2 linked regions of the Ovis aries genome follow. The protein of the gene in region 1 purifies or fractionates together with the protein of each later gene. This does not show direct contact. Links are inferred from orthologs where the notes say so. Each region holds a gene or a part of one and is shown in the gene's direction. Other genes may lie near its edges.

Region 1 (3,655 bases):
TATTTTTGAAAACTTTTTTCCCCATAAATAATAGTTCAGCATTTGAGAAAAACTATTTCTGTTCCATTTTTAAGGCTTTAAACAAGGAATCAAGTTTGATATATAACTTTTTGCAGTTGAATGATATATAATCAAGGGACGGTAGCAAGTATTCTTCTTATGGAACTTACTGGATTAGTTTAAAAGAGAAAAAAAGAACAAAGCCTCAAATGCAGTTGTACTATTCAGTTGCCAAAGAATTTTGTATGAAGTCTTATGATGGCAAAGGTTATGAAACTCACTTACAAAGAGTTTGAAATCACACTGTTCAGGATTTTAATTTCACTGCAGTTAATGTTGTCATCCATAATACAGTGTTTTTAATTTTTTTTCACTGAAAAATTTTGAGATGTCATCTTTTTAACATTATAAGATGAGAGGGATGGTAATATACTTAGCTTAAAAATTTTTGTGTAAACAATTGAAAACTGGTACCTTGGTAAAGATACCAGAAAAAGGAACTGAGTAGCAGTAAATAAGATACTTGATCCAAGGTTCTGATTTGTGCTAATATTTTCCTTGTGTTTGGTTTCTTATTTTAGTTGCTTGAATACCGAATACAGTATTGACAATACCAACATCCTTCTTCTTTTGCATTTCTTAACTGCTTATAGATAAATGCTTTCCTTCACTGCTATTAAAAAAATAAGGAAAGGGGTGCAAGTTCTGTGTAGATACATATGATTTTTTAGTTTTTTTCCCCACTGTAAGTTTTTTTTTTTTAATGTTCTTTGCTGTAATCCTTTATTTGACTTATAATTTCTTAGAAATGCCTAAACCCATTTGTTTAAACTTCAGTGTAAAGTTAATTCTCCAGAGAGAGTAAGGAATACTTTCTCGTGCCTCATTTTAGTTGAATGGAAGCCTGGGATGATGTAGGTTTGTTGGTCTTGCCAAAAAATGGAGTATCTGAATGGATGTAAAAATCTATAAAGAATGGTTAGATAGGGCTTCCTAGGGGGCTCCGGTGGTAAAGAATCTGCCTGCAGTCCTGGAGAGCCAGGTTCGATCCCTGGGTTGGGAAGATCCCCCGGAGAAGGGAATGGCTACCCACTCCAGTATTCTTGCCTGGAGAATTCCATGACCTGAGGAGCCTGGTGGGCTATAGTCCATGGGGCAAAGAGGTGGACACACTCAGGGAGTAACACTTTGACTTATATGGTTGGATAGGTTATATCATTCAATATGATGAAGCTCTCTCTGGCTAAGCAGTTATTTTTTAGTAGAGATAGAATTAATTAGAAGACTCCCAAATGGAATATAAAGGTTGTATATTAATTTAAATACTAAAGCAAAGTAACAGTGAATTAACAGATTTTCAGGGTTGGAATGAACATTATTTAATCAGACTGTATTTTATATAAGACAAATCTGAGGCACTGAGGGTTTTAATTGCCCATTACTGGTTTTAGTTTATTAAAGTCATCTTTAGGTTTAAAAATCAACTTTTAAAATGTATTATCTTTCCTTCTTATAAGAAATTTGTAGCTAAGTACTACAGGGTAAAAATGTGTTCATTCCTGTTTTCTTTATTACGAATCCTGTTACATTTTAGTCAAAAAGCATAGGGAATATGCAGGCAAAAGCTGAGAGTTTAACAAACTGTTTTATGAAAACCTGGATTTTTTCAGCATTACTTTTATTAGGTAGGCAGTTATATTTATCGATAGGAGTTAACCTAGTTCAAAACAGTTTTCAAGGGGAAGCTCAATTTAGAAGTAGGTACTTCTGATCTAAACAAAGCCTCTTTGTATAAATAAACTTGACATGACTAGTCAGAAGATCATGCCCTACTGTCAGTGGCTACTGGAGTACCATTTAATCTGATCATAAAGGGTTCAGATTTTCATATCAAAGATTTTATTTGATTCTTTCAAATCAAAGATTTTAATGTTATAATTAGCCAAGCTCTTGTAAATCTTTACTAGCTTAATTCTTTTCGACATTTTTACATCGGCAGTGTGACTCAGCACACCTTTTCATGGTCAAAACAGAATGGAAACGGCCTCATAGTCAATTCCCTAAATGATGTATGTGTTTTCTATCAGCTTAAGGCCATATTTTCTCCTCTTGATATTTGTCTTTGCCTTATAGCAACTCTAAAGTAAACACATTAGTGGCCCATAGAAATCTGAACAATTCTATGTACTACCTTATAGTTAAATAACTAGCACATAAATTTATAGTGGCTTATTCATGATTGAACCTATATTCATATTTTGATCTTACTGGCTAACCATTAGTAATAATACTTTTTATAAGAGCTGGCTTAAAATCAATTTTCTGAAACACCCAAATATTTGGATGGAGTAAATGAAACCAAGCTCTTAACCTTTGTACTGCCATCAAGCCAAAGTAACTTCTCACACTTACCAGTTTGAATGCCCCAAATCAGGTTGATTCTAATATTATGTTACGTTGTGCCATGGGATGTAGATGTTTTAAGCTATCTTATATTTAAATCTTCACATTCTTGTTTTCTTTTCTCTCTCTTTTTTTTTTCCCCTTTCTCTTTTTTAGGAGAGTTTTTCCTCTTCTATGAGCCTCAGAAAGACTACTGGGGTTTCTTAACCCCCATGACTGTGCCTAGAATCCAGGGCTTAGCAGCTGTATACAAGAACTCTATCTACTACATAGCTGGAACCTGTGGAAATCATCAGCGGATGTTTACTGTAGAAGCCTATGATATTGAGCTCAATAAGTGGACTCGTAAGAAGGACTTTCCATGTGATGAGTCCATAAACCCATACCTTAAACTGGTACTTTTCCAGAATAAGCTCCATTTATTTGTTCGAGCTACTCAAGTGACCGTTGAAGAACATGTCTTCAGAACCAGCAGAAAAAATTCCCTTTACCAGTATGATGATATCACTGACCAATGGATGAAAGTGTATGAGACCCCAGATCGCCTCTGGGACCTTGGCCGGCATTTTGAATGTGCTGTTGCTAAACTGTATCCTCAGTGTCTTCAGAAAGTACTTTAATGAATGGCAGGCCTTAGTGAGCTCACCGGCATCTTGTGCTGGAGGAAACTTAGTCTTTCAGTGATAAGAAGAAGTGCTGTCAGTATTTAAGAAAGCTGAAGAGAGTTTACACGTGGAGATGGGTGCTGTTTAAGATGAGTGTAGGGAGGGATTTCTTTTCATCCATGTGATGTTTTCATTTCAGTAAGCAAAAGGTAACAAAGTGCAATTATCAGCATTTTTTTTTTCTGGTATAAAAATAATCACATCATTCTAGAATTTCGTGATGAATAGTCACTGAGATACCAGACGAATTGACAACTATGCACTCTTAGAAGAGCAGTTAGGGTACTATGGATTAGAGACATCCAAAATAGTTTGATGTGACTTTTTATTTTAAATACGGGTAAAAATTTGAGGCAATATCACTAGGACTTTAGCTGTGACCTCTCTGCTACAGAGACGCACTAACTTAGATCCTCATTCTGAATATGTGTATATTTTGTGTACTGTTTTCACGTGTACTGGATTTAAATGTGTTATTAGAGTAGTTTGAAGGAAAAACAAATCAGTCTCAGAAAGAGCTTTTAGTTGGATTGTTTTATATTTCCCATGTTTCTTTAAATTAAGCTAAAGTTTTAAAGTAGTTTTGT
Region 2 (3,655 bases), on another chromosome or scaffold:
CAGAGACGTCCATACTGCCAGCCAGTGCCCAGATAAATGCATACGCAATCACACCAACACACACACAAAACCTGAGGACTCACACACGCTCACAGCAACACCCAGAGATTCAGACACACAGAGCCGCTGCCACAGGAGTTTACCAACCCATAAACAGCCTGATACTTAACACAGTCAACTGGACAAGACCTGAGACTCAGCATCACTTAGCCCAACACCCACACACCTCTTTGGTGTGTCAATAGCTGGAGGCTAACACTATCAGACGGAGAAGGCAATGGCACCCCACTCCAGTACTCTTGCCTGGAAAATCCTATGGATGGAGGAGCCTGGTAGGCTGCAGTCCATGAGGTCGCTAAGAGTCGGACACGACTGAGCGACTTCACTTTCACTTTTCACTTTCATGCCTTGGAGAAGGCAATGGCAACCCACTCCAGTGTTCTTGCCTGGAGAATCCCAGGGACGGAGGAGCCTGGTGGGCTGCCGTCTGTGGGGTCGCACAGAGTTGGACACGACTGAAGCAACTTAGCAGCAGCAGCAACACTATTGGATCAACACTTGAAGATAATGAAAGAGTTCAGCCAACGCTCAAAACCTCATCCTGTCACAGCTGTACCCAGAGTGCCTCTGATGGTCATACCACTCTCTGGAGATTGACACAGAGCTGTCCAGAGACATACATGTCCAGCTGTTCCAGCACTCGGATGCTGTCACACCAGCGCCAGGAGATCTGAATGCTCAGTTCTGCTGACAGTTGCAGACGTGCACAGAGCCATCCCCATCACCCAGAATCTCACAGAGGCATTCTAACACCTCACATCTCACAGTTACACTGGCACCTGGGGAGACACACTCAGTTATGCCAGCACCCTGAAGGTCACAGACTTAACCACAGCCACACCCGCTGACGCCTACACAGCCTTGCACATCTTTGGGGTGTATATACCTTCTCTACAAAGGTATACACGATCACACCAACGACTAACACACACCTGTGTTCATTCACACTGGTCCTGCCCCAGCCCTGAAAGGGTTTCCCTATGAGGGCTGGTGGGGAGTGGACCCTGTGGCCCCCAGCTCTTCCTCCTCACAGGCCTGGGGTGGATCCTCTCAGCTGGCGCAAAAGCACCTGGGCAGTTGGAGAGGAGGGCTGTGGTGACTTTGCCCCATCCACCCCTCCAGATGCCCCCCAGTCCCCTGGCACAGGTGACTCTGCCTGCTCAGCCACCAACTTGAGCCGCGTAGCCGGTCTGGAGAAGCAGCTGGCCATCGAGCTGAAGGTGAAGCAGGGGGCAGAGAACATGATCCAGACGTATAGCAACGGCAGCACCAAGGTGGGAGCAGCGTGCGTGCACACCCCTCCATGTGCATGTATACCTGTGGGCGCATCCCAGGCTGGAGCCTGTGGTGGGGGGCGGGGTGGTGCCTCCATCTGCCCCGCAGGAGGCTGGGGCACTCTGGGTTGGGGACAGAGGGCTGTGGAGTGACTCTGCAGCAGGATTGGAGTGTGGGCAGCTTGGGTGGGGGCAGAGAGGAAACTGGATGACTGTGGGTGATGTCAGATCAACACGTGGCAGAGACTCCCTCACCATACTCAGTAACCCCCGGAGACCGGGCAACATGCAGCCTCTCACTGCTGGTGGCGTCTCTGACGTACACACAGATCAACGCCCAGATGCACACATGTTACCATTTAGCGGCTCAGTCGTGTCTGACTCTGCAACTGTATGGCCTGTAGCCCACCAGGCTCCTCTGTCCATAGGATTTTTTAGGCAAGAATACTGGAGTGGGTTGTCATTTCCTCCTCCAGGGGATCTTCCCAACCCAGGAATTGAACTCATGTCTCCTGCGTTGATGGGCGGGTTCTTTACCACTGAGCCACCAGAGAAGCGCAGATGTGTATACTATCATCATGATATCTAGAGACACACCCATGGTCATAACAGCTTCTAGAGATACACAGTGGCATATCACCACTGAGACACACACACACACCGTCGTAACACCTAGATTCACAGCAGTAACACGTGGAGGAAGACCACCACAGTCACCTCTAGACATGGAGAGATGCTCACCATCATAGAACACCCAGGACACACAGCACAGGCCAACAGGACACCTAGACGCACAGACACACACATCTTCAGTTTCGCACACCCAGAGATCGGATTTGTCACACAGACGTGCCCCCAGTTGTACCAACACCAAGTACACAGTCACAGGTTGGCAGCAACACCCAGAGACACTGACACCCACGGGCAGAGTTCGACCTACAGCTAGAGACCCAGGGAGCATCCCCGCCTGTGAGTGCACACACAAACGTGAATATTGCACAGCACACAGACCATGAAGAACTTGTCTTAACCTTTTATTGAGGTGTAACAGATGGACGTCAAGTGCAGAAAACCTAAGTGTACAGCCAGTGAATTTCTGTCTAGCTACCCACCGCCCTTACCGAACCTTTCCTGTCACCCAGAAGTGCCCTCCTGCCCCCTTCAGTCAGTACCCAGTCTTCTTTCGTCACAGATTGGCTGTGCCTGGCTTTCTTAGAATGTATTTTACCTGTTTTTATTTTTGGCTGCTCTGGGACTTCATTGCTGTGCTCAGGCTCTCTGTAGCTGTGGAGCGTAGGGGCCACTCTCTAGCTGCAGGGCATGGGCTTCCCATTGCAGTGGCTTCTCTTGTCATGGAGCACAGCCTCTAGGGTGTGCCGGCTCAGTAGTTGTGGCACATGGGCTTAGTTGCCCTGCTGCATGTGGAATCGTCCCGGACCAGGGATCGAACCTGTGTCCCTTGCATTGGCAGGTGGATTCTTAACCACTGGGCCACCAGGGAAGTCTGTCAGTGCCTGGTTTTGAACAGAGCACCAAGTCAATGGAAAAATCCACCACCAGTTCCTGGCACTTATACACACATACCGTCCTTGGCTATGCCCAGTTAACCCTGTAGCTTGAACTGCATACACCAAGAGCAGGACCCTGCTTCCTACAACTGCCTACAACTGTCTGACACCTAGTCACCCCTGGACTCACCCATGTGGCTACAGGCAAGGCTACGCCCACCATGGGGAACACTCACACACATACGCCATTCTAACAGCTGACATGAATACAATGCCTGCTGGTGCCAGGCACAGTTCTGAGCCCTACACACAGATTACCTCCTTTAATCCTCAGCCCAGTGGTGGTTGGTGCTGTTAGAACACTCCCCTTCCCGCAGATGAGCAGATGGACCCAGAGCGGTTGAGCAGCTTGTCCAGAGTCACACAGCTGTTAGGTGGCAGCTGTCAGGATTCACATGCCACAGGCTCCATCTCCCTTCAACGCCCAGGAACACATTCTGTCATACCCACACATGAATGCTCGGTCACCCAGAGCCTGCCTGGGGTGGGCACCAGGACGGGTGGTCAGACTCCCACCTGCCCAGCCTTCCCCTCACGGCCTGTCTCTGCCATCAGGACCGGAAGCTGCTGCTGACGGCGCAGCAGATGCTGCAAGACAGTAAGACCAAGATAGATATCATCCGCATGCAGCTGCGCCGGGCACTGCAGGCCTGCCAGCTGGAGAGCCAGGCGGCCCCAGACGAGGCTCAAGGTGAGTCCCTCCCCGGAGACCGCCTCCCCTGCGTTCCACCTTGCAGAGTTCAGCTCCCAGCC

The links. Proteins that work in one complex are often made in the same cells at the same time.
Region 2: the proteins of KBTBD8 (region 1) and PKN1 purify together in Homo sapiens (affinity purification with western blotting; 3 studies listed by BioGRID and IntAct, with this or other methods). This does not show direct contact. The link is inferred for Ovis aries from reciprocal best matches to the Homo sapiens genes KBTBD8 and PKN1.

Annotation. Positions count from the first base shown.
Region 1 is NC_056072.1:34,573,008-34,576,662, reverse strand, and holds part of KBTBD8 (kelch repeat and BTB domain-containing protein 8), read left to right. Parts: intron 1-2,559; coding exon 2,560-3,023; 3' UTR 3,024-3,655. UniProt on the Homo sapiens protein: Substrate-specific adapter of a BCR (BTB-CUL3-RBX1) E3 ubiquitin ligase complex that acts as a regulator of neural crest specification.
Region 2 is NC_056058.1:9,642,732-9,646,386, reverse strand, and holds part of PKN1 (serine/threonine-protein kinase N1), read left to right. Parts: intron 1-1,182; coding exon 1,183-1,334; intron 1,335-3,457; coding exon 3,458-3,593; intron 3,594-3,655. UniProt on the Homo sapiens protein: PKC-related serine/threonine-protein kinase involved in various processes such as regulation of the intermediate filaments of the actin cytoskeleton, cell migration, tumor cell invasion and transcription regulation.